4 linked regions of the Drosophila melanogaster genome follow. The protein of the gene in region 3 purifies or fractionates together with the protein of the main gene of each other region. This does not show direct contact. Each region holds a gene or a part of one and is shown on either strand. Other genes may lie near its edges. The genes, in order: Whamy, Cyfip, WASp and Vrp1.

Region 1 (7,103 bases), about 19 Mb from region 3:
TGCCAAGTGCATGTGTGATTGCCTCGTTGCTCTGGCAATTTGCAAAGCAAAGCTAAAGCTTTTGATTCCATTACACCGATAAGCAACCATTCATTCACCAAGCGCTTGTGTTGATTTTTAAATATTACTTTCCGCATGTATTTTTTAAACTTTTTGGTTCTTTTTGTATGACAAAAGTGATCCGGGCTGTTCGGTACATCTATAAGGCTAATGTTAACCTAATCCTAACTGTTTAGCAATTATGATTTGTTATAGTTTTGCTCAAGTGTGTGCATAATTGCTCCTAGACAAAAATCTACCTGCAATCTACCTGCAATGGTGATGATTATGATAATAAGAAGCTCAAGTATCTTCCAACGAAACATAGCAAATAGACATATCGAGCCTTAGCATTAAGCACTCAACGAAGGGCAATAACTTCAAATAAAACGTGTAGAAACTAAAGATTCCATCGCTTGTTCCTGGGCGGAAGTGGCGACGACGGAAACGCCTGTCTTGCAGCATGAGCGATGCAGTGCATCCATGTGGCCGCACATGACAAGTTCAAGTTCACGGCGGACGACGTCTATAAATTGATGTTATTTTTTTTGCGCAGCCAAATTTGACGGGGGCTCGGTGCCCAAATGGTTGGTTAATGCCCGCCCAGCAAACGTAATGCTTTGTTACAGAAATAACCCGCAGTGATGTAAGGCACACAGAGATCTCTCTCGGCTGCCAAAAATCGCTCTCTCAATGGGAATGGGACTATGACTTGGGTGTGACGATCGCCTCTCCGACAGCGGAAGCTGTTGATCGCTGTTGGTTTGCCCGGGGGCACGGTGATCTCTTATGGTTACACATTTTTTAAATACCTGCCCGGCGTTTGGTGCGACAGGTGCTAATGTGGCGACATTCCGATTGGTCGCGCCAATGCGATTCCGCACGTAATGGCTATTAAATTCGGATCTTCTAAAATGGAAAGTTTATTGTGCGCTCACAGTACGTAGATACGGATGCGGGTGTGCAAACATTTGGCGAACTATAGAGGACTACAATAGGAATATCAAATTAAATTTGTACGTCTTCAATGATCAGCTGCAATTGGTCACAATCCCATTGGGTGATAGATAGTTCTAGGCACTTTTGGGGCTTTTGCCAATGCCGCAAACCTTGCGGTAGTGCTCCGGTTGCTCCAGGCTGTCGATAATGAACTTTCCCAAGTCGTATTTGGATACCAGACGACCGGGGGCCTCGTCGTGCAAGACGGTATAGGCGGTGGCCGGCTCATCGGCTATGTGCGGCGGCAGAATGGCGATCCAGTCTAGATCGCAGGCCTTGGTCAGGTCCAGCATGCGCTGGTGCTCCTCGTTTAGGCGGTGGAACACAGTGGGCACTTCGTTGAGCGGGCGCAGGAGAAACGAGGACATGACAATAGAGAATTTGGTCAGTTTGGCCTCTTTCATGGCCTTGATGAGGTTCTCGGTGCCGCGGGATAGCTCCGTGGTAGCCTCCAGCTTGTTGCGGGTGCCCAGGATGACGGCTACCGCATCCACGCCCTCGATAACGCGCTGGACATCCTCGTAGTTGGTCACGTCTCCCTTGACCAATTCAACCTTGGACTTGAAGCGTTCTGGAACTGTCTTTTCGCTGCGGTATAGCAATTTCACCGACAGACCTGAAAGGAAGAATACGGTTTAACTGGCGTTTCCGGGTCTTAAGGTGTCACCTACCCTTCTGCAGGGCGTGATCCACGGCACACTCGCCGGTCATGCCGGTTCCTCCAATAATAGCAATGCGTTGCATAATTCGGATGATTCTTTAATTCCCGTCGATTGAAATGCGTTTAGTCCAGTTGTTGGTTTGCAAAAGTGCAGTCTCACCTGTGCTCCAGGCGCAACTTATCTATCAAATTTCCAATTCACAAGTGAATCCAGCGCGATTGCCTCGCATTCTCACCTCACCCGTAGCAATGAATGTACAGTGCTCTTTCTAAATAGTGAACGCTCACTGATCTGAAGCTTCTGTAGAAGGTAACAAGATATTTAACATTCATTTGTATTTTTATTAAGCTACGAATTATTGCTTTAAAAATATCGTGTTATTTTTGTCTCTATGCAAATAATCTTATTTTGTTTATTGGTTCATTGCTTCTAGTTAGCACTGTACTGGCAAAACAATATGAATTTTTATATAGATTACTGTCAGGCATAATGATAAGGTATATCATATCTGGCGATAACAATTTTATTTACAAACGCTAATGGTCATTTGTCATGGTGATTAATATTAAAATTATAAATACATTTGCGAAAATTAAAATTAAGGCGGTTGTTCTCAGTCTGGCAGCCCTGCCACTTGGTTCAGTGTGGTAAAATGCGGCGCAGTTGAAAGTTTAACCGCCAAATCGTTACGCCTGCGACTCCGATTCCTCGGAATACGGATTATCCGCCGGATTCTTGACCCGTCTCAGTGTTATTCCCAGCTTCAGTTCACTTAGAAAGTCGGTGGTCACCGGCTTACGTTCTGGACGCGGCTTAATGCCACTTATGGTGGCTGCCTTCTGATCCACTTTCTGCAAGAATCGAAGAAGGATTAGATTTCCAATTTAAATGGGTGTCTACTTTTAATACCTTCAGCTTTACGCCTTGTCGAATGCTCTCCAAGAACGCATCCCTCGGGTCTCCGCCGGTGGAGGCAGCTGAAACAGCCTTGGGCTGTGATTTCTGCATCGGAGGCGGTGGTGGAACGCCGGCCATGCCACTTGATGGAGGCGGTGGTGGAGGAGGAGCGCCTCCCGCGCCAAAAACTGGCATTGGTGGCGGTGCTGGTGGAACACCTGCTGGTGGCGCTGGAGGCGGCGGTGGAACACCAACGGATGCCGCTGTAGGCGGCGGTGGTGAAACTGGCACCGGAGTACTACTAATCTGGGTTTTCTGCGCTGACAGTGGTGTCATATAGACAGCCGAAGATCTAGAAGTCGGCTTGGCAGGAGCAGCTGGTGGCGCCGGCTTGGCAACAGGCGCGTACTGCACCGGGGACACAGCATACAGTGATCCGTTGGAAATCGTCGAGTTCGTATGAGGCACTATTGTTGGCTTTGGAGGCGCCGGCGGTGGAACGCGCATTGAGCCCACTTTCCGTTGCGGTGATATGGTGGCGTACGTCTCATTCGCTACCTTTGGCGCCACAGATGGCCTCACTTGACGAATGTCAATGGCCGCTGGATATCCATGTGTGTTCTTCGCCATTACCGCCGATGGAGGTGGAGGAACCTTAGGTTTCACACTCTGCTGAGGCTGCACTTGGACGGGTATCACACTTCCGACCTCTGCCGGTTGAAAAGGAGTTGGTGCAGCCGGCGTAGGAGCAGGTAAGTCCATATCGGAGATATCCACAAACCGTGAAGTAAGCGAGGCGTAGTTGGAGAAGTTTGGTGCCTCCGTTGGCCTCGAAATAGTGGCTATTGGAGGCGGCGGTGGAGACGGCGGAGGAGTAATCTGGTTATTAGTGGAAATGGTGGCATAGAGCAGCGGCCTGGCATGATCTTGAACTTTTGGCTGCGCCTGAAGATCACTTTTTGGTGGCTTAAAAGGCAAATGTTATATTAACAGCTTCCAGTTAATTTCAAGACCTACCATCCAAGTAAAATTGGAGTGAATGATCTTCTTGATCACTTCTTGGCGCCGCATGTCACTAATGTCCGCCTCCGTAATGCCACGCTCCATCATGTACTTCCTCAGCACCTTGTCGTTGGGATCGGCATTCAGGTCGAAGGCGTTTCGCGTGCGATCCCGCGTCACATCGCCGGAAACGTGCTGGAAGTTGACTGGTCCGCTAATCTCGTACTTGGAGCCCTTGCTGCTGACCAAGACGCTGGTGGCGAAGCTGGGACCCGCCAAGGCCACAGAGGGCGGAGCGCCCAGATACCTGTCCAGGCTGTTCGAGGAGGAGGAGCTCTTCATGCCGTCTAGACTGGCGTTGATGCTCACGTTGTCGGCGTAGTGAGGCGGTGGACGAACTGCTGGCGGTGGATGTGCAAAGACGTCGCTGCTCACTTGCATAGACGGTGGCTGAAAGGAGAAGAAAACGGCTGCGTTCAGGACAACTGTGGACAACATCAAGGACACTTTCGGCTGATGAAGCTGGCAAGATGAGATGCTGCAGGATATTACCACCCAGTAACCGGGTTCCTTATTGCTTCTAATTATGTCATAGACATAGGCGCGCCGCACAATAGCCGGCAGACGTTCAAGATCATCGGACAAATTTGCCTTGCGCAGGTACAACTGAAGCATTTCGTCGGTGCCCTGGCCTCGCAGATCGAATGTCTTGCGGAAGTCAATCGCATTGCCCTCCAGCTGGCGGAACTCCACGGGCTCGGAGATGTAGGCGTATGTGTAATCCTCCATCGAACTGGAAAAACGGATACGTAGTTGGTAGCTGCGTTATTACGGCTGCAAAGGAGGTGCCGCCCATTGGCATTGTCTTGGATCTCTCCCCGTTGCCGCCGTGCGTCCACTGGGCCCAGCGGCATTATCTAGTAGCCAATTTGCAGATAAGAACTGCTGGCGCAACTTGGCGTTTTATCAATTTCGGATTCGGATCGCGGTGGGCCTTCACGGACGTGACTCATCGACGGTCCCAGTCACCAGTTAAACAGGCTAATAATTATTACGAAAGCCCATTGAAACGAGATGGTGGTCTAGAACGACAGTAGGCAGCGGCGATGAGCAAGGATCAATTACCGTGCGCACCTGGAAACGCTGTTTGCAGGGATTCTGCAAATGCTGAACCGGATCAGCTCGGCTCGGGTCGGCTGGTGTGTTTGAATGGCACGGAGAACCTTGTGGGACTGATTAACAACGTCGGTGTGCCATGTTAGGCACTGCGTTTACTCATTTCGCGAGGCGTCTTATCTGTAACCGAAGTGCTGAATGCAGATAACTGGCGGCCAGTAATCACCTGGGCCAACTACGACGACTCCGACTCTGACAGCCTGAGCCAAAGGAAAACATAAACAAATGGCGTTAACTACACTTTGCGGTCTACGATATGCGCCTTGGCTGTCAGAAGTCTGCAAAATGTTGGGTAAGTCCAAAATTTAAAAATTAGCTAATGACTAATGTGTTGTAGAAGCGGAAACGGCTTTATAAATCATTTTATTTTTAAAGATGAATGCATATGCAGGGACTTAAAAACACAGTTTCAAAATGTATAACTACGAACCCATTGGTTTGAGTTTCTCATTATTGAGATGTACTTTAAATCTTATGTGATATTAGAAATTAAAATTCAAAGCAATTTAAAGACTACATTTATATTATACATATATATTTTACGATATACGTATTTATAATATTCAGTTGATTCTCAGGTCATTTAAGTTATAAACATATCGGTAAGTTGTCAGATGTTTTACTTTAGCAAACATTTTAGTATTGCCGTCTTTGTTAGAAACCCTTTAGAGTTGTCCAATGCCTTGGAGCCAACTGTCAGTTGAGCCAATTTTCCAGCGACGGAGAAAGCAAATCTCATATCCCTACTTATCAGCAGTACAAACGTTTCGTTAAAATTTCCGAACAAATTATTCCTGCGATAGAAACTGTACAAATTTGAACTTTTTTCGAATTCGGCCAACTGCCATTGAGTTTTAAAAACTTTGAATCGCTTTTGAGAGAGAGCAATTTTCTGCGAAAGATACGCGATCGGACTAGCGCCATGAAAGTCAAAGTTTCGGGTGAATATACGCTGGCCGAGATCGAAGTCGAGTTGGACCAGCAGTTGACGCCAGACGACCTGCAACCCGGAGCCACAGTGCTGGCCACCAACGAGAGTACTGGCGGCTTAGAGCGGATTGTCAGCCATGAGGAGCTGTCCAGATTCTTCGCCGTGGGGCCAGCGGGCGCCTTACCAATGCCCACGGATGTTGTAGTGGAGCGAACATTGGCGGATCCGGCTTTCAAGCAAATCCTGCAGGAGGCCGACGGAAAGAAAGGCTTCGATCCCCAGGCGGAGCAAATGAAGATTCGCGACTTTTTGGCCGGCGTCACCAGCAGCAAGATGACCACTGAGCAATCGGTCTTTCATGGTATACGAATAGATTCACTTGCATGGATAAGTTTTTATAGTATTGCCTACATTATTTAGGATCTCGTTCCAATTCCTCTGCGTCCACTGTCAACCGTATAAAGTGTCCAACATGTTTGGTCCAGTTCGATGCCGTGGCCTTTCAAAATCATTCCTGTGAAGCGAAGCCGATCGAGGTGGCGGTGCCTCAGCAGGAGAAGCCACATCTTGTGCCTACTGTATCTGCTCCTCCGGCTCCGCTAAGCAAACCGGCTAGCGAGCGGGTAATTCGGGAGAACCAAGTGCGTCTGCGCCGTTACATCAAAGATGAGATGAAGTACGATCTGGCCACAGGCATCGAAAGCTCGCGCAAAAACGCGGCCAAGGGTCCCAACGAGTGCACCATGTGCGACCGCAAATTTGTCCACGCCTCTGGGCTGGTGCGCCACATGGAGAAGCATGCCCTGGACTTGATCCCTTCGCAAACCAGCGAGCAACCACATACGATTCCGGCTGCCGGACTGCATGTGGTGGTTAAGTGCAACTCGTGTGGCCGCATCTTCTATGATCCGCAGGTGGCTTTTAGACACGGCCTTATTCACGATTCGGAGCATTCAACGATGCGTCAAAGTCCAATGACCCAAGTACCCTCCAATAGAGCAGATTTCAATGAGCTGCTGCTGGATGGCGAGATGCTGATAGACAACGATCCCGCATTTGCAACGAGCAATCAAAACACAAACCCACCGAAGAAGGAAATGTTTAGCAGCCTGATCTTGGGAAGTGTTTTGCAGTGCGAGTTTTGCGAGTACATTTTCGCTGACATAGCCGAGCTGCTTGTCCATTCCGCTTCCCATGTGGCGGAGCGGCGCTTTGAGTGCACCGCCTGCGACATTCAGATGAACACGGCCAAGGAAGCCAGCATCCACTTCCAGACGGACTGCATTTTCATGCGCGAAGCAATCAGGTCCCTAAATGTCACGCTTAGTCGCTACTTTGTGTGTAATGTGTGCGAGCTGAAGTTTGCCAACACGGACCTGCTCCAGGAGCATCGGTAA
Region 2 (9,535 bases), about 13 Mb from region 3:
CTGGTCAAGTCCGGGGACCTAAGCGTAGTGTGCGTAGGATCCGTGTGGTCCAGCTGGGATCTGCTGCAGGAGGCCTTCATCAGTGAACTCGCTAAGACAACCATCGACTTCGACCTCAAGCTGGTGCGCATCACCAAGAGCAGTGCCTACGGAGCCTGCTACCTGGGTGCGGATAGTGCGGACTTCGATCTTCCGAGAAACTATGCCGACAACGTCACAGTACTGTACACGTACACCGATCCTCGAAAGAAAGCCAAAGCCACCAACGGCTGTAACTGTTAGATAAATTGTGTTTGACAACCCATTCCGCAATACACTTCCCAATTGCCAAATTCGCAATCAATATTCCAGTTAGTGGTACGGATAGGTAGTATTATAGCTTATCAAAAAATAAATAATTTTATCCTTTGACGAAATCCGCTGGAAAGTAAAGAAGTTTCCCTTTCAATCTTGCATCAAACTCACCTACATATACTTTCTAAACTTTTTTTGTTGGGTTTGTTAGAAATACGTATGAAAATTTTATTCGATAATGTTCATTGTATTAATTGTATGTGTCTCAATTGTTGGCTGTCGTGGCTTCTTTTCATGTATGTGGGCATACATGTGCGGCATCTTCTTTGTAATACTTTGATTGTGTTTAAAGCCAATTTGTTTTTATTTTCGCAGTGCTGTCAATTCAATTCTTTGGCTAATTTGATTCTCGAATCGGGAAGCAGAACATAAATGTATCTGTTTGTAGCGAAGGAATACATAGGCCAAAAACATAATATCTTAGGGAGCTTAGAATAGAGTATTTGGGATAATGTACGAGTAGCTGAATCGAATGCCGTAGCAAGTGAATCAAAATTACATCTACATGTATATATATATAATTGCTTGGATAAAACATTTAACGTACTGTAAGATTGAATGCGACATACCAAAAGAGATTTTCAATAAAATCGAATTCAAATAGAACCAAGACCGCCACTTTGACTAAAAAAACTGTCAAAGTTTCGGCAGCATAGCCAAGAAAACTTGGCTTTTCGGCTTCTACGTCGCTGTTTTCCTGGGGACTAATTCATCTGCGATTAAGTGTAACCTATTTGTATGCGATTAGCTTAAATGCATCCCTTTCCGGGCGACTTCAATTGTTTATGCTCTGCCGCAGCTTCTGGGGATCCTGGTAGTGCGACGAGGACGATATGACCGAGGGATGCTGAGGCGGTGGAAAACACCGCACGTGCTCCACATTTGAGCCCTCGCCATCGCCGCCCTTTAGATACTTGTTGAGAATGGAGAAGATTTGTGAGTTTAATACTTGGAACCGACGAATCCGATCCACCATTCGCTTCAATTGCTGTTAAGGAATATTCAAATTGTACTTTGGGCACTTTGGTAGTTATGTTAGAACTTACAATGCCCTTTACGTCCTCATCCTTGCCATCGACGCGCTGTACCCGCAGAATGTGGTAGCAAAAGTCCAGAGCCTCGAAGCGACGCTGCTGTCCCAGCAGTACGATCATGACGCAGCCAGCCCAGTTCAGACCTTCGCCGAAGAGCTCCTCGATGGTGTACTCCGTTCCCCTGACTGGAATGCAATAAACGAACTGCAGAGCCGACCAAAGGCGATGGAACTCCGAGCACTCATCCACGTGGATAATCCCGTTGGCCGGTGGAGGACCACACCACACAGGGTCGTCCAAATAGCTCTTCACGCGGTTGAGAATAACTTCAAAAATGCTGAGGCCACAGCAAAGACGCTCACGAGTCAGCAAATCTCCCTCTCGTGCTATCATTGCTTGCTGTTGGTAAAGATTATTATTATAAAGTTAATCAATTAAGTTTGGGGGCTCACCTTTGCAGTGCCAATCTTTTCCACGTTTGAAACTATCTGCAGATTGGCAAACTGTGCTTCAAGACGCTTTTGCTTAGCCTCCGGTTTTTCATTCTCTGAAATGGGTAGAGATGTAAGTAAGAAAAACTACCCATGAAAGCATCCACTTGTACATACCTTTGCAAAAAGGTCTGGGAAAGATGTTCTGGAAGAGGGCGGCGTGCAGTAGATCGCACACCTCCTCCTGCGAGAGCGCCTGTTCGATCAGCAGGCAAAAGATAATGCTGTTGCCAAACTCCCGGAAAGACTGAAATAGCTCTGTCTTCGCGTCCGGATATTGCACGATGTCTGTAAGATGAGCCTGATAGTAGCTGAGCACTCCAGGCGAACCATATTCGCAACGGGGTAGTTTGCATGACTTGGGCATGGCAATCATCAGCGTCTTGGTGAACTGCAGCAGCGAGCCCTGGATCAGTGGCTTAACAATGTCCTTCAGTATAATGTCCATGACGACTGCTATGCCCTGATAGCCCAGCAGGCGGCACATGGCATGGAAATGCGGTGAACCTACAAAGCCAGTGTACTGGCCATACTGTGTGGAATAGGCAGCATTCAGCTGCTTGGAACCCCACAGATAGTAATGGGACATTTGTGGCGGCTTCTCACGCTGAATAGCCTGTGACGACGAAAGATTCACTTTGGTTCGAATGAAACTGCAAGAGATAATAGTAATAATAAGTATTTTAAACAATAGAAAATTGGCGGCACACCCACCGATTCGTGGCTGCATTATAGCAGTAATTGACCAGAAAGTCGTAGTTCAATTCCACAAAGACGTGCAGTGTTATTCTGCCGTAAGGCGCCAGTACATTGTGGTTAGCCTCCTTTACCATGCCGTCAAAGTTATCCAGGGCCAAGTACTTGCTTAGCAACTTGTGGCAAATTCGATTCGCCTCTAGCAGGCCTTCGAGTTCCTGAAATTAAGCGAATTAGAGACCGATTCTAGACATCTGTAGGATTCCACTTACCACAATGCCGGTTATATCGTTGCCCTCGAAACGACTGATGGCCAACTCAATGCTCTTGTGCATGTTGGCGTTTATGCGTTGTGTGATCAGTTTGTTCAAGTCAATAGAACGGCCTTAAACGAATGGAGAAACCATTAACCAAAAGATCATGATGCAATGGGTGTTTTGCTTACCCAAAAGTTGGACATGTCGTTGTTTTAACAAGGTCTCATAACGATTATTGCGGGGATACGACTGGAAGTTGAAACCGAGTACCTCGCACTCCAAACGGAATCGCTTGTCCAAGAAGATGCTGCCCGCCAATTGCTTGTAATGGGCAAAGATCTGCTCGCTCAGCTTGTAGACAAACTGATCGAAGCACAGATTGACTTCGGCCTCCACTTCGTCGTACAGGAACTGCTTTCGGAAGACAGTGAGTGCGTAGTACGCCGAGTCGTTGTACAAGTCCAGGGGATACAAGACAAATCTGTGTGAGGCACTTAGTTAGTTCAGATCATTTCACCTATTCGCCATTTACTTACTCCATCATTGAGGGCTCCTTCGTTTGCAGAATGTGATCGGTTAGGATCCAGGGCATGGACATTTCAATCGGAAACTGAATGCGCTTCTCCATGGTGATCAGATCCTTGCACTCCTCGTTGTGCTGATGCCGCACCAAGCACTTGTTAACCTTACGACCCATGGTCATCTCCAAGTAGAACTCGCGATACCACAGCTGCGAGAGATCGCAGCACTTCTGAAGCGTGTCGCTGAAGTTGAGCAAGTAGCTCCAGTAGAACGATGTCTTGTGGAACGTGTCGATCTGCAGCAAACAGTTTCCGTCGATGTCCTTGCGCAAAGTGCGCTTGCCGCCGCTTTTGTCGGCAATCAGAGACTCCAGCATGGTGCGCACCATGTATAGCTGAGTGGAGGAAGGTCCCACATTGAGGCGAGGCACCTGGATGCGGAAGCCGCCGTCGGGATCCTTCTTGCCCTTGGCCACTGGATCGTCGGTGGGCTCATAGCCCTTTTGCCAGTCCGCCGATGTCTCTCGCACCGACATGATGATGCTCCGGATAAGATCCTTCTTATTTTTTACGGCCTTTCGCAGCGGTTCACGAAGCGAAAGCTGCACGAAGTCCTGCAGCTCGGAATAGATGTTACGCCGGATAGCCTCGCACAATACGGTTTCAATGCGCGCCATTAGCACCTGCAGTCCCTTTATCATGGCGATGACCTCGATCAGCGCGAACTTCTCTTCCGAGGTGTAATTGTAGCGGGTGGCCCGCTCGTACTCCTCAGCCTCCACGGGGCACTCCTTGTTCTGGTGATGATCAGTCGGATGCAGGAGCTTCCAGGAGTACAACTCGGTGACCACACTGGTCCACTCGGACAGCAATTGAAGGCCGCGCAGAGCCAGGTCGGCCGTAATCCGGTTCTCGGCATCAGAGGGATTCTCCTTGACGGTGGTGGTCACCTCGTTTGTGTATCGCGCCAGCTCCGAAATGTACTTGACGTGATCCTCGCGTATCTGCGGCAAATGCACCATTAGATCCGCCTGTGGGCTGATGGCGTTTGAGCTGGACAGCGGCCACTTGCTGGAATCGAAGTGCTTGCTGCGCTTTATGTAGTTGAAGGGAGCAATCTGCATGTCGCCGAAGAGGGGCACCACTTCCAGGTTCTTAAAGATGCGATCGATGCGATCCAGCCGTATCTTCTTCTTTTGATCAAGTTTGTTGATATTGCACGCATCGCTGTCCATAAGGAACAGGCCAAAGCCCATAACTTTTACCAGCATGTGCTTCTCCTCAGGGGTCAAGTACATCTTTGTCTCGAACATATGCACGCAAATGTTGACCACATCTGAGAGCAGATCCTCGTAGCCCACGATCTTCTCCAGCGTGTCCTTGACCGTGTCGCGAATCTTGTTCTGCGTGGCCAGGAACATGGACAGATTCTGCGACTCCTGCAAGGTGTGCGAGTCCGACATCACTTTGAGGAACTGCGCAGCTCGCCTGTAGGTGGAGTAATCGTTCTTCACGCTGGACTTCATGTTCTTCAGCTCGTCCAGCACGGCAAACATGTTGATAAACTTGCCTAGCGTCAATAGGTACGCCTCGGACACGAAGTCCTTGCGCTTCTCGGCGTGGCACAAGCGCTTCACCTCGCCGGAGAAGGCCTCGATGGCCTTGCGTTGGAAGTACATGAAGTTGAGCAGCTTGTTCACCTCCGGGGCTAGCACCTCGACCGTCTTCTCGTAGATCTCCACGCGATTCGGCTGCTCATTGGACTTGGGCTGCGGAATGGCGCGCGAGCAGCAGCGCCAGGTGTAGAGCATTACTGCGTGTTTCTGCCCCTCGTCCAGGAGCACATTCTGCGGGCGGAGAGAAGGGGTTCAGAGCTGTGAGTAATGCTAATGCGATAAGCCGGATACGCTAACTCACCAAGTTGGCATGGGTGGTGGCCTCCTCGATGTACTTGGCGATACCCGTGACAAATCCATTGCGATCCTCGAAATTCGTATCGAAGTTTGCCTTGTAGATAATCGAGCAGGGCTGCGCCTCGATGCAGGGCTGCTCGTCCGGCAGGGATAGCTCGTCCAACACCTCCACGTTGGACAGCGCGTCGGCTAGCGTAATCTTCTCCGTCATGCTGGGCTGCTTATCATGCTCCAGCAGCGCGAAATGGTTAAATTCTAACAAGGCGGGGCCCCAATCCAATCGACACAAATTTTTTTCGCCACAAATACAACACGACTTTTACCATTCGCCTGGGTGCGTGGACACGTGGCCATAATTAGCACATTTTTGCTGGCGGTTGGCGTCTACGATGTGCTTATGCTTATATGGCTGCGCACCGCTAATTTCGATAAGAGAAAGATAATCGATAAATACGGCGCATTGGCGGCACATCACATCACTAGCGTCTGTGGTTCCGTTTCGTTTTAGCGAACTCAATTTCTCCTATTTTATATTGCATTTTCCGTTAAGAGTAGCCTACAATTCTGCAAGATGTCGATGTTTTGGGGTAAGTCGAACTGATCTCACTTGCCCCCTCCGGGCTGGTTGTGCCAACGAGCTCTTGGGTGCTCCGACCGCGCTTTTATTGCCACCACGTGCTTGCCGCTCGATTTACCGGCAGCGTGGAGCGGCGCCATTTGCACGCCGATGTAAAGTAAACCATGTTTTTGACCAACTGTGTCCTCTTCCAGGTTTGAACATGAAGCCTGAGCGCAAGTACTCGCAGACGATCATCAAGTCGTTCCACATCTCGGGCGTGGCACTCGACAAGGGCCAGGAGGCCAAGTTGTACCTCGCTGCCGAGAAGCAGGAGTACATCGTGGCCACCGTGACCAAGGCCATTCCACAGGTTGCGCTCGACCTGAACTTCAGCAAGGGCGATCGCATCATGTTCTACACCGCCGGTAAGACCTTTTATGTCCACTATGTTCGCATGTTTATCCGTTTCTGACGCTTTCGTTCGTTTCACAGGCGACGCCAGCGTTTCTCTGTTGGGCTACTTGCACGACATTGATTCCGAAGATGATGAGGATGACGATCAAATGACGATCGAGAATTTGCTGAACTCCAAGGCGATCAAGAATAGCAAAAAGTCTGAAGATGATGAGGATGAGAATGAGAGCGGCGAGGAGGACGAGGAGGATACTGATGACGATAGCCAGATAATCGAGGAATACGAGTCCTTCCTCGAAAATGGTGAGGAGGAAGATGACGACGATGTTGATGAGGATAACGAGGAGAGTGGCGAGGAGGATGAACAGGACAGCGACGACTCCGAAGCTGAAGAGGAACAGCCAAAGGCCAAGGTTGCCAAGCTCTCTCCTGGCGCTAGCGCCAAGAAATCTGGCAAGGAGCAGAACGGTGTGGCCAAGAAGGAGGAGGCCAAGCAGCAGCAAAAGAAGAAGGAGAAGCCAGAGGCCAAGAAGGAACAACCCAAGGCCAAGGAGCCAGCCAAGCAGCAACCAGCTTCTAAGGATCCACGTACTATCACCGGAGGCGTGAAGATTGTGGATCAGGTCGTCGGCAAAGGCGAAGAAGCCAAGCAGGGCAAACGCGTATCTGTTTACTACATCGGCCGCCTGCAGTCGAACAACAAGACCTTCGACAGCCTCCTGAAGGGAAAACCATTTAAGTTCGCCCTGGGCGGCGGAGAGGTCATCAAGGGCTGGGACGTGGGAGTCGCCGGCATGAAGGTGGGCGGCAAGCGAGTCATTACCTGCCCCCCGCACATGGCGTACGGCGCACGGGGAGCTCCACCGAAGATCGGACCGAACTCCACTCTCGTCTTCGAAGTGGAACTGAAAGCTGTGCATTAGTGCACTATATTAACATCATATAGACTTGTAATCCTAAGTAAGTATCCACGTCGTACAACTTGATAAAAATGTTAAATAAACTCTGTTTTCCGGCTGTTCATAAATCAACAGTTTTGTAACAATCGCATGTATTTGGTATGGGGTCTCTAAGGGGTTTTTTCGGGTGAACATACATCCAGCAGGGGCTCAGACTGGAGTTTCCAGTGCTCGAGTACGTAAGGCAGCCGTTCGCTGGGATCTGTGCTCCAGTGGTGCAGACGACACTTGAGTCGCGCCTGTTCCAGCTTGTTTATGGTCACAGTGCAGTAGAAGTCCTTGTTCTCCTTCTTCAGGTCGGGTCCCTCGATGCGCTCCTTGGGCAGGGTAATGCACTCCTCGCGACAATAGAACCCAGTCTTGCGCAGCGAGGCCTTGATGTGCCAGGGCTCGAGCACCCATGGCTCATCCTTGTTCATGACCACCGCCAGCACAATGGTCTCCAGCATGTTGACCGTGCGCTGGGCGTAGGGGGAGCTGTGTTTAACAGTCGATTTTTCAGCCTCTGTCTTGGCGTACTTGGCCACATTCTCCGGCGTATTGTACGCGGCCAAACCCGGCAGCAGGAGCTTATTGTAGACAAAGTGCGGCTTCATTGACACCACGTCGCCCTTGTCGCCAACGCCCTCGACGAAGGTCTTTAGCACCACCTCGATGTTGGGCCGCTTTTTGACCAGCGTGTCGTCCACGAGCTCGTAGATGAAGTTCTTGGCCCTCATCCGGCGGGGTTTCTCGTTGGTTTTGTGCAGCGGCGGGTCATATTTGCGCTTCAGGACGAACGTGGTCTGGAAGCAAATTGGTGGTGAATGGGGATCGCTTCCCTAATCCAGGAGAGCACTTACCCGCACTTGCTGCTGCAGGCTGGTGGCCGATTTAAGCAAATTTAACGGCGTTACGTAGATGTTCTTCAACATTTTTACCACCAATATGTCTGCGTTGCCAGACTACTCAGCCAGTTTGCAGTGTTGCCAGATATGATTATTTAATCTGCGTGAGTTCAGCAGTAAAATTTTCAGTGACTTTGAAAACGATTATGAATTTAGTTTTTTTATTGCAACTATTTCTTTACATTTTAATAAAGCAAAATAATTTGCCCAATTTACCTTTTAATTGATTAAAAAAAATGTACCTTTGAAAGTATTATGACTGTCAATTTTAATTTAATAGTTTCATTACAAAATAAAAGATTGACTATGCCAATATTTCGGCGAACGCGCCCATCGACATGCAGTATGCGTACACGCTGTGAAGCAGTTTTTAAACGGAAACCGTTAGTCGAATTTATTTACAATATGACATTTTACAATCAGGACTCAATAGTGTTTTGTATCCAATCAACGTACTTGCCCACCAGCGTGTAAACTCCTGGCCATCCGGCCAGACCGCACGGAGTCGGTCCAAATGACACGACGCCGGCCAGGAAGTAGTAGGTGTTCACCTTGTTGGTGTCCAAGCCGATGAGCGGTCCCCCGGAGTCACCGCGACAGGAGTCGACGCCTTCCTTGCCGCCGGCACACATCTGTGTGTCCTCGAGGAGAATGTCCTGGCTGCTGTAGACGTTCTGGCACTCATCCATCCGGAATCCCTCCACGGCTGCCTTCAGCTTGAGGTTGCTGGCCGACAGCTGCTCCGTTTTGCCCCAGCCGGCCACGTCCATGGTGATGCCGTCGAAGGTGGCCGACCGCAGATTGACGTCCAGAGGCAGGCAAATGGGTCGCACAAAGTCGGTGTACTCCACCTGCTGGGCCAGACGCAGCAGGGCTATGTCGTTGACCTGGTTCTTGGAGGCCGGTATATAGTCGGGATGGGGTATAGTACGCTCCACGGGCACGTCCAGATGCGGTGGCGCGCAGTCCTTCATGCCGCGCACATCTACTTCGCAATCGGGATTAGTGTTGGTGTCCCATTCGCCCAAACGAACACCGGACAACCGCCAGTCGGTGGGCAGTGCCTTTCCGTTGACACAATGCGAGGCTGTGATCACATATCTTGTGCTGATCAAGGATCCGCCGCAATGGTGACCCTTTTTGCCCTGGCCTGCATGTAGGAATTAACCAGTGGATAAGTGCGTTCAGACTTAAGACGATGCCCCTCTACTTACTTTTGGTGTATTCAATTAGAGCCATCCAGGGGAACTCGTCGATCTTGGTCTTCATTCCGCCATAGATGCGATTGGACAGGATGTTGCCGCATTGTCCTGGCAGCGGCAGAAGGCTGTTGCTGGTTACATTGGGCTTGGGCGGTGGCGTCGTCTCCGATGAGCTCTCCCTGTAGCGGTCCGGACAGCAGATGAGCACCTTGCCGTTCGTATAGCCGCACTGGCTGCGACTCAGGTAA
Region 3 (7,287 bases):
TAAAAGAGAAAGAGGCATTGACGAGCCACTGGATTTTATGTAGCTTCGGATGTGGAAGATGCTTTCCAGCCCACACAACACAGCGCAACACAGCACAGCACACAGCTTGTATCTCTGGCAAAGTGCGAAATTGTGAACACATTTGAATTTTTATTGATGCTTAGCTCTGGCTTTTTTTACTCGCGCCAACTGTGAGCGGACATAAGTAGCATTGTAAAAATGATGTCTTGCCTTCTACGTACAAGCTGGTGTTTCTTTTGAAAAGCATTAAAATCGATGGAAAACAAGCGACAGCAAAAAGTGGTCATTGCCACCGAGCGTGTGGCTCGATGGAGCGGGGAATGGGTGCGGTCCTAGCGGTACAAGTCAACCCAAATGGGCCAAGCGGTAAAATGCTCATACGCCCTGTGGCCAACATATTATGTCAGATTATAAATAAACATTTATACGGATATCTATAGATACCACTTTAATCGCAATGTATTTAGAGAATGTCATTGCTATTTAAAGATGCGTAAAAATACTAGAAATGAGTCAGCTACTTCCTTTGTTTATTAAAATTCTTTCGAAAGTAATCAAAGCTAGCTAATTATTCAGAGAGCAAAATCTGGGGCTCAAAGTGTACACTATCCAAACATAAACATCAATTAGAAAGTTTGGCCTGTGCAGAAAAATGCGTTAAATAAGTGTATACAAATAAATGCGAGCAAGAGTTGCGACAAGCGACAAGCGACTGCCAAACCACAATAACAACATCGGGTTTGCTAAGCTGCAGCTTTGTGTGTTATCACACGATATCGCACAAAGACGGGCAGCATTCGATACGGTGAAAACAAGATATGGTTTGGTGATTGATTGAATATTTTCCACCAGGTAATCTCTTTCTTTATCTCAGAGAGCAGAGCAGGGCAAACGAAAGATGTGGGATTAATGACATAATTTACAAATCCCCGAACGTTTTCATTGACTTGCCCAATACCCGTAGCTTCAGTGAATCAAAAGCAGAGACTAAAAATATGAGAAATGGATTGGTAGTGCCTTTCTGAGTGTCTTCAAAAGGGGCCAACTGCCTTAACCAGCCCACTGGTTGCATTACTTTGGCAGAGTTCAAATGCATTTGGAAATGTTTTGTCAATGGAAAGTTGCGAATTAGCAAAGCGTGAATTGCGAATCGAAATTAGCGATTTTCCCATGTTGTGCACACCATAATTATCCGCACAACGGCCGCCGTTAAATGACCACATTCCAAGTTTCCACTCCAATTTCAGGGCATTCTTATCGCACTTGGCATTGGCCGGTGATTCGCATTGGGCGGGCGGATTGATAAGATAAGGTTCGTCTGTATTTCGCCTCAAATACTATATGTACCCCCACTCTTATCACGACCCAATGGGCCAAACTAATGGTTTCTCTTTCGTTTCGCACCACAATCGGCTTTGGCACCCCAATACTACGAAGGAATAGAGTTGGAAATAAAAAACTAATCAAGAAGTGCAAACAACTGCGCTTGTGGCCTATCAATGCCGGCTCAAGCCGTTTGCTGATAGAGGCTCTAAGAAATGCTAGGTAAATATTAGTAATGTTAACAAAGTCTAACAAATTGCTCTAGTAACACTGGCCAGCACATTCGGACTCTGATCTGAATGAATATTATTTATTCCTTATATACTCCTAATTTCTTAATGAGCATTTAATACGAGAATAGTGCCCAATAAGTTGTAACCTACATATGTATGTATGGGCACCATAAAACATCTGTGTAACAATGATTCATCTTGTTTTTTTTTTGTATAGTACAGAGAACATTAATCTAAATGGTTATCTGCACTGACTCAAGTAGACTTTCCAGCAAAAGAGTATGTCTTTCAATCAAAACCAAAGCTAATAATGTGTACGATACTCCCATGCAAGTTTTATAGCTGACCAACTAACTATAGTGCATAGAACTCTAATTTTGTTCACAGTTTAGCTTCCGGTGCCATCTTTAAATGGGCAAAGAAACCATTCAACTATGTTGGGCAGTGTGCAAGTGAAATTTGGTAAATATGACAGGCAGCTGCCCGTAGACCGTAGAATGATATTATGATATAGGGTTACTGTGCTTCGAGTGAAATTCGCACACGATGGGCGACACTTGAGCCGCAGGAAGTGCTTCATCAAGCCGTGGGATTTGCTCGGCGAAGGCGGAGGAACACAAACCATGTCATTGCTTAATTATTAATCACCCGATTGGGGGCATTATGCATCATCAGTACTCGACTCACCTGGCACTTCTTGCCCAGCAGCTTGAAGACGGCCTCATTCTCCTCCTGGGTGAGCAGCGTACTGGCGGCATTGACCTTCGCCCGTGGACCGTCCTGCGACCTCATTCCGCTGCTCATCTGGCCGGTTTCGTTGGATCTGGGTCTGGTGCTGGATATGGGGATCTGGGCTGGTTTCCCTGCACAATACGGACACAATACGCATTTTATTGTGTGGCGAAAACAATACGCAAATGAACAAAAGCTAAATGTATTAATTTAATATCACAAAACGCTGGGGACCCCGAAAAAGTAAAAAGTTCATAACAATAAAGGCACACGGAGTAACAGTTGAACTTCGATAGAGTGAACAAAAGTTTGGGATCGTAGGGTTGACGATACAATATGAAAAGTTTGAGCTCCCATAAATATACTAAAGAGTTCAGAAACTGTATAATATTTAACGTTTAAATGAATTATTGCAGTCAACGCCTTCGAATATAAAAAGATAACTACACTTGGATAGGCTGCCTATTTTTTTGTACAGTGTACAGCTTGTAAAAACTCCGATCTACAGAGAGTTTGAGCAACGGAGTCCGAAGTGTGTTGCGAATAACCCGATTTGGGATCGAAGAATTATGGTTTTGGGACTGCTGAATCGATTGACAGTATTGTCTTTACGGTTTTGAATGGTTTTCAGCCCGAATTACGGCCAAGAGCGCGAGCGAGAGAGACCGAGACCTGCGCTGGCTATGACGATGTAGCTGGTTATGGTGTCGGCGGGGCTGCGAGCGGATCGCCTGGTCTGAGTCACGGTGCCCGAGAGTCGGAAATCAGAAGCAGAAACAGAAACAGTCAGCCAGCAAGCCAGCCAGCTGCGTTTGAATGTGGGCAAAAGCCAGGCCAGTGGCAAACTCTTCGAAAAGAGCCCTTATCTTTGGCGAAAAGCACTGATTAGGTGTGCGCATGTATCTATGTGTGATACATGCACAGTGGTCTGGGTTACTCAACATTCGGCACTCGCCACAAGCCACCAGCCAATCCACCCCACTGTGCGCCACTCCGTAGCTCCAAGATTTGTGACAACACCTGTCCGTCGTCGCGCCAGGTGGGGTGAAAATGCAAATGTAAATAGACAGACGCTGCTGCGGATTGGGAGTAAGTTCATGGGTTGGGTTGGTTCGGCTTGGATGGGATGGGATGATGTGCTGCCCTACTCAAGGTCTCGAATTTCCCTTGTGAGCTGCTCTGCTGGGGGGGTCGCCCATTGATTTTTTGCGTTTATTTTCGTGCACTGCTCTTCACTCTTTCGTTTTTTTCCCACACACAACACAACACACCACAAAATCTGTGTAGTCTCTGGCCTTGCGGATTCCGGGACTCTTATCGGGAGGCTCTACTGTGCGCGCGTCCGCGTCATCGAGTGCATGGCGTTGAAAACGAGTGTTCCTCGGTTGATTATTCGTCTGTTCCCGGACGCAATGCTAGTTTGTTTATTCATTTATTTTTTTTCACTCCAATTCAATTGCTGCCAGTGTGACCGACCGAAAAAGGCGATAGGCTAAAAATACTATCCTTTCGATAATTTCCTAAAATATGCATCAAGCTCTGCCAAGGCCCTGTGCAGACCATGCTCGAGACTTTTCAATTTTGCCCATCACTAGTTCCGCTTAAAAGTTTATCAAAAAGTTTCAGGCAATTCCGTTAAGAAATCGCGAGTGGAGAGCTGTGGGAATAGTATATTTTTTCATTTATGTTATCTTTTCCGTTAAATTTGATTTTGTTTACCACGCCCGTAAATTCGAATAAATATTTGTTCATCTGGCTTTCAAAATATGTTTTATTTTGATATAAATTATAATCGAGTAAATTCACATTGGTTTAATTTTTTGCTGACAAAAAGCATATTTCGATTTATTCATATTGAAAATGGTTAATCGCATTGAATCGGTAAAAACTAAGTCGCAAATGATGAGCTTAATGCATAAGCTGTTTCCTAAAACAGTTACCCTTAACTTGCTAAATTATATAAAAGAATACTTAAAAAGCAGTGACTAAAAAATGTGAATTTCTTCTCTCTTCAGATATTTGGTGTTTGCATAAGGAAGCCAGGGGCATATTTTAAACTTAGAGTATATTCTCAATAAAGATGTGCAACTATATGATTGTAATTGATTTCAGTAGCTCACCAGTTGGAGGACAGCTCATCTAACTAAGTGTTAAAAAAGTTAAATCAGAACAGACATTCGACTTGGTAAACCTTTCCTAGTTAATGCGACAATCGAATATATAGCATTTATATATATGCCAGTATACATTTTGTATATATTGGGTAGTTGTACACATGTTGAAAGGCCTGATTTTGTGTATATATATGCAATACATTTGGCTACACACGATCGGGAGCATCGGGAGCTTCCTTCTCTGACTGTGATTTGGATAAGTTGAAGTTACTAGGAGTTTGCGCTAACTCTATGCTAAACTGGTTGCTTACAAAGTTTTAGGGTCTACGTATAATGTATAAAGTAAAAGGAGAGTAAAATATGGATTACATAGCGTATGTATATTAACTCCTATCCTAAAAACTCTTTGATTTTGACTCTGACTCTAGCTCGGCTTGTGGATGTGGACCTGTGCGTGTTCGGTTCCTAAAAAATGCTTGACAAATACAGTCCTGTTCCTCTTACAATCTCCACTTCCGTTTTCGCTTTAACTTGGCTAATTTGTGATCCATACTATCCTGAACAAATTAACCCTCTATTTCCGCGCGCCCACCACTGGCAGCTTGGACTTGACTCCTCCAGCGGTGCTGGGGGTATTGTCAAACGTGGAGCTGCGCAGGAGCGTCGGCTTGGTTCCATTTGCGTTGAGCATGTTGGAAGATTTGGTTTTCTGCGTCCTCAGGTTGGATGACGATTGCTTGGTTTTGGCCTCGTCCACTCTCTTCCAGATGTTGGCGATACGACTTTGCGCATGGTTGATCTTGGCCGCAGCTGCTGCGGCTGCACTGCTTCCATTTAGGTTGGAGTTGCTGCGGGATGGTGGAGTAGTGGACGACACGCGGCCGGAGACCACACGTGAGGCAGCGTGAGATTTGCCCGCAGCTAGTCGCAGACTGGTGTTTGCCCTTTGAGGCGTCATTCGGCGGGCCGGCGCCAAGGGAATCCTCTTGGGAGAGCCCGCTTTCGATGGTGACCCACCGCTGGCCGTGCCTTTCTTTGTGGGTAACTTCGAGGCGCGGTGAGTGGGACTGGTTTGAGCCGGTTTTGTCTCCACCACGGGCACTTGAACATTGGAGTTAGTGGGCTCGTCCTTGACAAAGGTTCCCTGGCGTTCCAAGCGTGCGGGTGCCGGCTCAGGCGGCGGCGTCGGCTTCTTTTTCGCTGGTAACCTAACTCCTGAACCGCCGGGCACCAGACTTCGTTTGGCAATTGTTGGAGATAGGGTTTTCTTCTTGGACGGGGCGGCATTGTTGCTATTCCGTTGACTTTGCATGCTGTAGGGTGAGACATAGGCTGGTTTCTTGCGACCTCGCACCAGTTTTACGGCCGTGGCGGGCTCCAAGGTTGTGGGCTTAACGACTGATGTTCTAAGGTCCACAATTGACGGAGGAGGAGGCAGCTGATCCGGTTCCTGACCATCGCACGACTCCGTCTCAGAGTTCTGATCGCACTCCGGGGATTCCCCTGCGTCTTCTGGATGATCAGTACTCTCGCAAGTCTCCTGACTGTGTCCAATGTTAATGTCCGTGATGAAAGTGAACTGTTGCATCATTGCTCGAATTGAGGAGAGCTGTTCGCTTGGGCAATCATCGGGTTGGGGTTGTATCAAAGCCAGGGGACATTCAATCAGTTGGGTCTTGTACCGCTCCGCACTGCCCCTTCTCCTTCCATTGGCGCGTGGCGATGGCGTGGCCACAGGAACGGCAGCTTCCACAATTTCTATCTGCAAAGTTTCATTGGCCTCTGGTGCTTCCATCTCGCAGCTGGTGGCTATGGTGTAGGTCTTGAAGCGATCCTTTGTGAGACGTCGCTTGTCTTTCGGTGTGAGGGAACGACGATTGGGTGATGGAGTAGATCCGTGCTTGGGTGTGGACTCGGCCGAGCTGTAGTCATTCATTGTGGCATCCTCATCCTCGTCGAAACAACTTTGGAGCACGGTCATCGTCTGATCATCGCAAGCAGCCGTCTCATAGTTGGACACGGAAATGGTGGTGGCCATGCTGCAGTCCTGCTCGCCATCGGCCACCTCAGATTGAATGCTGTCCACACTGATCATCGAGTCCAGCAGCTCATCCATCAGTGACGGAGGCTTGATGTTGTCCAGCAGGTTGCAGCTGGAGTTCACGCTCTCCGCACTGCCAGCTAAGTGACCCAGTGCTCGTCTGGCTACCAAATTGGCTGGAAACATTTTTCGCGCGAAGCGTGGACTCTTGCTGGGCATCGCCTGGCGCAGAGAACTAGGCTGGGAGTGATCCTGGTAGCAGCTGTTCAGCGATTCCATTCCCGACGGCGGACGAATATTATCCAGATCCAAACTGTTCAAGCTGAAGGTCATCTCCGTGGTGTCATCGTCAGTGGCAGCGGGCTGGAGTAGATTTTCCGCCAGAGCTCGCGCTTCGAACGCAATCATGGTCGAGTTTGTCATAATGGAGGCACTAGTTCCATTAAATAATAGTCTTTGCGGCTCCAATCTAACGCCAGCATTCTGCACCTGCCCACCCAACTGGAAGTTAAGACCTCCAGACGATCCTGAGTAGCTATCAGCATGACCATTAACCAGGGTATCAGTTTCCCCTTCGAGCGATTCCGGTTGCTGTTCATTCGTGGGCGTTATCTCAATCAACTCGTGCAGGGATCTCGCCTCCGTGGCATCTTCATCCAAGCTCAAGGAGGCCAGAACCGGTGCCGTTTGACTGACGCTGGGGAAACTCACATCATTGGGACAGGTGCTCTCGTTCCAGGTGTTGTTGCTACTGTTGTTCTTGTGGCTGTTGCTGCTGCTGTGGTTGTGGCTGCTGCTGCGCAACTGCTCCGCCGACGTAACA
Region 4 (7,268 bases), on a different chromosome or scaffold from region 3:
CGCTTTCAATTTCTTTAATTCATTTTTGTCGTTTAGCTGTGGCCAAGTTCCAATTACACAAAACCAAAACCGTTGGACTAACAATTAACATTTACATTTCAATTGCAAGTCGTGCCAGCTGTGCCTTTTCATGATTTTCGAGGCAGGGGAAGCTGCTCATCAAATCATTGAAATTCCAAAAGCCACGCGGTACGATAATAATATGTGACCGCAGTGCAAATTAGTCGGAGCAACAAATGCAAAAGACAACACGCTCCGAAAGCATTTCTTATGCCAATGTTTTTATAGCTCATCCAACTCGATTTTGTTTATAAGTTTTTTTTTTTTTGTGAATGACCGTTTATACTAGAGGCCCGCTGACGTAAAAACGTTTTGTGGCGAATGTTTTGAGGTGAATCAAATTCAGATAATTCAGAGATACACAAAGTGCCTTCGCTCCAGTGGCAGAGTTTGTTATGCCGAAAACATTACTGCGGAAAAGGTCAGATATCTAATAAATACAATTTAGTATGCAAATTCCGAATTTCTCTATCAAAAACACATTTCCAATTTATTCTTGACAGATCTCAGATCGCTCAAATGACTCATAAGCCGTTGAGCCTCAACCTCTCTGATCAGCAATAGCGCCAGAACTGGTTTATTGTAATATTAGTCATATTAAACGCTAGATACAAAATAAGATGATTTTCAAAAACTATAATAGCTTGACATCTTTATTGTTATTCCCAAAGGTTACTCCCAACCTTCCTTAAAAACCTTGTATTGATTCATTTGCGAGTATATATCCCACATATGAGTGAATACACCGCATTGAATGGCCTTTTATGAGCCTAAACACTGCGTTTCGTGTTACTTCTGATCTAAGCGTTTCACCATGCATCATTTTGCATTTGCATTTTGCATTTTGTAATTGAAGCTTCTGCCTTTGCCACATCGGCTACCTCATCAGCGCTTGCTGCGCGTGTGTGATGTAAGGCCCATATTTGCTTACAGATAAATATTGCATTGTTGCACTTGATGTGGCTGTTTCAGTTGCTAAGCCCGTTGTTGCCGGCGGGTCTATTAAAATGCGGTTTTCAGCACCGTCGCACAATGCTTAAATAACTAATGTAAACACATCATGAGAGTCGAGACGAGACAACGATGAACTCAATGACAACAACGGTGTTGGGTTCGCTAGTTTGCATACACTACACATGGAAAAAAAGAGCCACTAACAGCTCTTAGAAACAACAACCCGGTCATTCTAAGTGCCTAAGAAATAAATACTCAGCTAAACATCCTCATGTGCCAATTCATTTTTTAGTCGGATAAGATTCGAAATGGGAAGTTGGTCTTCCTCTTTGAACATTGAATCACTTTCAAAAAAATTACTTTCATGCTTAAAGCACATTGAGAGAGAGGAGTGTTCGCAGTGCAACTGCAAATGTGATGTGAACACAAGTCAAACACAAACTATGAGTCACCGGGGCACCGAGGAAGCGAAAGCCCTCGGCATGGGGCTCGAAACTGTAGTCAGAAATCGGTGTGCTGGAGAGCTCACTGTAGTTTTATGATTCAGTTCCAGGTTGCACAAGGAAGTGCAGCATAATTCAGCGTCATAAAGGCTGACAGAAACGACCGACTCTCTCTCTCTACTACGTGCCAATCAGACCTCGTGTGATGCAGTGCTCGAAAAATGCACGACAGCCAATTCGACTGACAAATGGCCGCACACAAGGCCGACAAGTGCCCACTCCCCGTGGCCATAAAACCCCATATCCACACCCCGTGCCCCACACACCTTCACCTCCACCCTCCCTTCAATCACCAGTCTTTGCGTGTGTCACTGCAGCAGCACTCGATATTTCTGTGTGTACTTGCAGTGGGGCATGCACAACAGCCTCGACAATAGACCGGCAGCAGGCAGACTCCTGGACGGGATGCCATGGAATGGGACGTTGGGATGGGTCGGTGCCATGTGCCCACCGCTGCCATGGCCTACGCCACGCCAATGACATTGAACCCGGCGACTGGGACGACCCTTTGTGCCATGCATAGCATTACGGAAAGGAGCTCGAAGCCCATTCACACTTGTGGATGGTTTAAAGAGCGCACTAAATTGGCCACGAGGGTTATTTTCGGTACAGAGAAAAGAAATTACTTATAACAACTTCTATAGTCTTGTATTTCAATGTTTTGATATCTGTTTTCCACCATCGCAGAGTAGTAAAGCATTTTAGAAATGAGAATATAAACAAGACGTTCCTCGACTATCAGATATTCGTTGCTCAGCTAATGGGAGTGCTGGACAACTGGAACCCGGACACCGGTACCACGACACCAGAAGTTGCACGCTTAAGCTAAAACTTGTGACTAACTCTACAAGTAATAAATCTAATGTAAAGATTGCGATTGTATGCCTCTTCAAATGGCTATAGTAAGAGCCCAGATTATGTCATACCATCGAAGTTCAACCGCCACAATTCGCACTCACATCGCTGAAGGGAGCCAAGCGAATGAATCAACCCCTAGTCAGCGAATTTAGTTTTCGTCGGCCGTCGAGCAATGCACTCTTTGTAGGTCAGTTATGGGGTGGCATGGGTGGCCACATGCTCCATGGGTCTTCGCTGGTGTTGCAACACTTGGTGTCGTCATGCGTCGCGTGCCCGGGCGTTTTGCTTAATGTGATTAAGACAAAGCGACAACAAACCAAAACAAAGTGCATTCGCTGACGGAACAGGAGAAAATCAAAGCGACCCGAGTTTATTGCACCCCTTTTAGCCGGTTAGACGGTGGAAAAGGCTTTTCGTGTTCTCCGACACAGGAAAAAATAAATTTCATGCAAGCTCAAATATTAAATCAAATCGGGCAAGACATGGACTGTCGGCTATACTTAGAATATATGCAAATAATGGTGATTAATCTGGAATATGGACATATGAATAAATATTATAAAAAGTCTAAATACAGCTGCCTACTAACGCTGGTATGTGTTTGTTTATTGTGTACCTCGAGGCTATAAGATATAGCCCCATATCTTGGAAAATGCAATTTTACATACACACAACCATTAGTCGCAAATATCGTGGCGAAATTGTCGGAGGGCGCGATAAGATAATTGCCTACATGGAACTGGTACCGAAGAGGTTCCTGAACTTGCCATAAATTACCAAATTTCTGGGCACCGTGCGAAATAGAATTGATAAGGTCGCTCGATAAGTCCGTACCACTTCGGATTCTGAGTGCTGAGTGATGCACTCAATCGACTAAATGGGTACAAAGCCAAACGAGTTGGATTTACAAACAGACTCACCTTGAAGCGGGTTTCGGTTTTCGACTGCGGTCGTAGCTTCTGTGAATGAAATTCTCGGTTCTCTGGGCTGCTGGCTGTCTTCGGTGTTTCAGCAGGTGATTGTCGTGATTCTCTGGCGGAGATGAAACAGCATAGCAAGCGGTTCCCTAATGTATTTTTCCGAAACTATGGTGTATAATCCGTATCCGTGTTCCTAAGTTAAGTTAATCCGCGCGCTAGATCCGTCTATCGTTTTTCGAGTGCACAGGTGTTGCATGTGATGTGTATCGTGTCCTGTGAGTGCGGGGGGAAAGTCCCTCCCACTGTTGGTAAGAATTGTAGAAATGTGTAAAAGCCTGGCTAAATGCCTAAAAGACGTACAACGACGATACAAATCCGACTGATTTTCATTTTTACACAAACACACGCACACTGCGACAGCACACTCTCACTCACGTACACGCACGCACACACTGCCAGGTGGGCTGACTTCTGATTCAGTGCGATTTTCGCGTTCTGCAAGGTGTATCTACAACCTCCCGAAACGCGTATTCACTTCGATTTCCGGGTTCTAGCGCTGCAGCATTGTTTATCTACCACGGATATCCAGATTTTCTTCGCAATCGGTCGAGAAAACAATAAATTTATTGTGCAGCTTAGAGGTGTAAGAGAAACATAGACGTATCGATGTCTCTCGATGGTTTGTGCCTATCGAAATCGGTGTCCCGCAATATACACAGCTTCCACTAAGCGAAATTTTAGCATTTTGGCATACGTGTAGAATTTAAATGGAAAATTACCCTTGGTAACGCATGTACGATCAAATTCGCACCAACTCAACGGTTCCTAATTCTTGTCGTGCAAATGAGACAAACAAATTTATAATTATTAAAATAAAATATATTCACATCGGATTGTATTGTTTCTTATATATATGGCCCAAAATTAAAGAATTTCATTTTAATTAAGAGCATGGTCGGCGTTGCCATACTTTCAAAAAGTTTTCCTTAAGCTGGGGTATATTCCAATAGCACAACAACGGTCACTCTATTTCAAAATTCAAAACAAGCTATTGGCGTCGTCTGTCTGGATTTTGTGTATGGAATAAGTAGATCAGAAGAAGCAAATGGGATCCAAAGTGGAGCAGCAGTACAAGCTGCTGAATGCGGAGCTAATGGACCAAGTGCAGAAGCAGCGCTTGGAGATCGGCGAGTACAGGAAGCGGGTGATATCTTTGGAGCGAGAGATCATGGACATTCGGGAGGAGCACGTCCTGCAAAACCATCGCCAGCGCATGGAGAACATCAGTATCGTACGCAGCCTGATGCTGAGCCTGAACGTGGACTCCGATTCCCTGGCAGTGCGTCAGGAGCCCGCTCCCGCAGCTCAGATAAACAGACCAAGCGGCCCGCGTCGCAGCTCCAGGGAAATCTGCAAGGACATGCGACGGACGTGTGCGTTGGCCCGCACCACCAGACCAATCTCGCCAAGAAGATCTTCCTCAGTGACCAGTACTGTATCGTCCACTAGTCGCCGCTCCAGCGCAGAAGTGCAGTCCGAGGTGGTGACCACTAGGATACCAGAGGATAGAAGAGCCAACAAGGTAACTTATACTTAAATTTGATTATGCTTTTCTTAACGATTCATTATCGGCTTGAGTACAGCCTACACCACCGCCACGAAGACCAGCGGAATTAGTGTTTGATGAGGACGACTCGGACGATGATTTCGACGAAGCAGTAAGCCCCGTGGAGGAGACACAGACTGAGCAAAATGAAGAGAACAATCGTCTGTTTAGCATTATAGAGGAAAATGGCAGTGAAGGGGAGTCCACAGACTCGTCATCATCATGCGAGGCCATCTATTGCGACACAACGTTTGAAAGTAGTCCGCCAAACGCCCAAGTCACCGTCACGCCCAGTGGACGGGCTCTGCGGGAAGTGGACACCAATATCCCTGTAGCAGTGTCCCTCAGTCGGGGAAAAGAGACTGGGAAGGGATCATGGTTGGCTATTTCCGTAGCTGTGGAAGATTCTCCACAGGAGCCAAGCATACAGTGCCCACGACTGGCAGTCACCAGGCCTAGTCAATCGTCTGGAATATTTCCTGATGTCAACGGATTAACGCCGCGAAGAAGCCTGTTCAATGGGATAGGCAAAATGGCCGGAAGCACCAGCACTCCGAAATCCTTTCTCGTCGAGGAAATGCCATCTATAAGAACTAGAAGCCGAACTGCGGCTAATAAGAAATCAGAAAATACGGATATGTCTAGTTCTTTCTGCAACAACAGCGCAAGGCCGAGTAGAAGCTGCAGGCCCACCAGTTTGGTGGAGCCAAGTCTGAAGAACAAGTTGCGCAATGGCTCGAAAGGCAAGGCCAAGGCCAAAAAGTAGATAGACGAATTTTTTAATAGGCTTTAATGTTGTTTCTGTAATTTCATTGGTTTTCAATACCACTTTTTACCATTTTTAATATGAATAATATTTTTAAATCGTCAGGCCCTGATAAGTTTAATTTATAGACTAAAAGCTGACATCGGATTACTTTTTGCCTGCAATAGAGGGCATATTCAGTTCATCCAGCGCTATCGGAAGGAAGACACTCCATCATCATCATCACCCAAAGATGCCAATAGGAATTTAAAAGTACGTCTAATTTTTACATGTTCATTTGTGAATAAAACAACGTTTCAATTAATTATTTGTTAATACGCTTTTAGGGGAACTCATTTTATAGATTCCTCTTAGATGCAAACTACGTTTATTCGCACAAAGTTGTTGGAAACATTTACAAAAGACTCTGAAGAACAAAGTACAATTACAATTACAATTAAATACAGTAGCAAAAGGGTAATGATTATACGTAGGTAGGCGATAATTGCACTTCTTTTAGACTACCTCGAACTTGCCCATACAACAGTTGAGATGGTCTCCTGCATGGTTGTGGCTTGGCTGCTCCGTGTTCTCCTTGATCTCGCTGATAATGTCCTGTATCTTGTTGATGATCTGTTGCGAGTTTTCACCTTCGCCAGGAGTGTGTTCGCTACCTGCGGCCGCTTCTGGTTGCTTTGCCTGGGCGGCATCTGCGGGTAGCTCCACGCCCAAACTGACCACCAGCTTGTTTAGTGCCTCAATCTTCTCGCGCAGCTGCTCTCGCTCCGCTTGCAAGAGACGCATTTGGGCGGCCTTCTCGTACTCACGCTGCTTTAGCATGCGCCTCTGCGTTTGATAGAGGGCAATGTACTCGCCAATCGTTTCGGTTTCGCTCTGCAGCTGGAGCACCAGATGCTCCAGGCTGTGCTTCTCCTCCGTCAAGTCGGCGACCTGGCTGATCAGTGTGGTGAAACGCGATTGCAAGCGTTCCACGGCCTCGGCGGTGGGCAGCGTTTCAGCTGCTTGTCTGTGGGCGTGGTTCTGGCCGTGATCATGTGGATGATCATGCTGATGATCGTGTGGATGGCTATGTGAATGATCATGTGTGTGATCGTGCGGATGATCATGTGGATGACCATGATCACCAGCATTATGATGGTTATGTTCATGGGAATGATCGTGGTCATTATCATGACAATGACCGTCGGAATGCTGATGAGAGTGATCGTGCGAATGATTATGCAAAAGACCAACTTCCTTCGCTTCCTCTGCTTCGTTTTCCGGTGCATCTGCTCCATTCTCTTTTTCGGTTTCCTCACCGGCGTGATAAGCTTTTGCCTGAAAGAAATGATAATGGGATATAAAGTCAGTTAAATTTTAATCCCAGTCCAACCCACCTCATAATGCCTGAGACGGTCCAGCTGCTGTTGCAACATTAACTGCTGACGTTGTAGTTCCACGTTCTCGTGCGATAGTCTAATCATTTCCTCATCCTTGAACTTAAAGCGCTCCTCATTTGCTTGAAGCTTTTGCTCCATGCTGTTGTAGTTCTGGCGGATTTCTCGGTTGGCAAACTCTTCTGAATCCAAGCGGATGACCAGCTCGGCTTTGTCGTTTGTCAA

Evidence for each region.
Region 1: the proteins of WASp (region 3) and Whamy purify together in Drosophila melanogaster (affinity purification with western blotting; one study listed by BioGRID). This does not show direct contact.
Region 2: the proteins of WASp (region 3) and Cyfip purify together in Drosophila melanogaster (affinity purification with western blotting, with the first as the bait; one study listed by BioGRID). This does not show direct contact.
Region 4: the proteins of WASp (region 3) and Vrp1 purify together in Drosophila melanogaster (affinity purification with western blotting; 4 studies listed by BioGRID, with this or other methods). This does not show direct contact.

The regions. Positions count from the first base shown.
Region 1 is NT_033777.3:9,769,587-9,776,689, forward strand, and holds Whamy (WHAMM and JMY related), read right to left. Parts: upstream 4,834-7,103; 5' UTR 4,734-4,833; exon of another isoform or gene 4,725-4,733; intron 4,393-4,724; 5' UTR 4,389-4,392; coding exon 3,615-4,388; intron 3,564-3,614; coding exon 2,610-3,563; intron 2,552-2,609; coding exon 2,387-2,551; 3' UTR 2,209-2,386; downstream 1-2,208. Other genes in the region: CG9471 (uncharacterized protein), read right to left, coding at 1,113-1,654, 1,710-1,782; topi (matotopetli), read left to right, coding at 5,698-6,067, 6,127-7,099.
Region 2 is NT_033777.3:15,329,331-15,338,865, reverse strand, and holds Cyfip (cytoplasmic FMR1 interacting protein), read right to left. Parts: upstream 5,601-9,535; 5' UTR 5,478-5,600; coding exon 5,271-5,477; intron 5,201-5,270; coding exon 3,369-5,200; intron 3,314-3,368; coding exon 3,021-3,313; intron 2,961-3,020; coding exon 2,848-2,960; intron 2,794-2,847; coding exon 2,594-2,793; intron 2,533-2,593; coding exon 1,997-2,532; intron 1,936-1,996; coding exon 1,841-1,935; intron 1,788-1,840; coding exon 1,401-1,787; intron 1,343-1,400; coding exon 1,130-1,342; 3' UTR 501-1,129; downstream 1-500. Other genes in the region: Nagk (N-acetylglucosamine kinase), read left to right, coding at 1-282; Fkbp39 (FK506-binding protein 39kD), read left to right, coding at 5,838-5,853, 6,038-6,250, 6,318-7,162; mRpL9 (mitochondrial ribosomal protein L9), read right to left, coding at 7,309-7,983, 8,041-8,112; ea (easter), read right to left, coding at 8,505-9,235, 9,300-9,535. UniProt on the Drosophila melanogaster protein: Plays a role in guidance and morphology of central and peripheral axons and in synaptic morphology. Also required for formation of cell membrane protrusions and for bristle development.
Region 3 is NT_033777.3:28,828,238-28,835,524, forward strand, and holds the start of WASp (WASp), read right to left. Parts: upstream 3,788-7,287; 5' UTR 3,581-3,787; intron 3,077-3,580; exon of another isoform or gene 2,982-3,076; intron 2,904-2,981; exon of another isoform or gene 2,757-2,903; intron 2,441-2,756; 5' UTR 2,382-2,440; coding exon 2,265-2,381; intron 1-2,264. Other genes in the region: Apc (APC-like), read right to left, coding at 4,998-7,287.
Region 4 is NT_033778.4:22,118,598-22,125,865, forward strand, and holds the start of Vrp1 (verprolin 1), read right to left. Parts: upstream 3,966-7,268; 5' UTR 3,296-3,965; intron 1-3,295. Other genes in the region: mei-S332 (meiotic from via salaria 332), read left to right, coding at 4,401-4,877, 4,939-5,667; GM130 (golgi matrix protein 130 kD), read right to left, coding at 6,163-6,984, 7,044-7,268.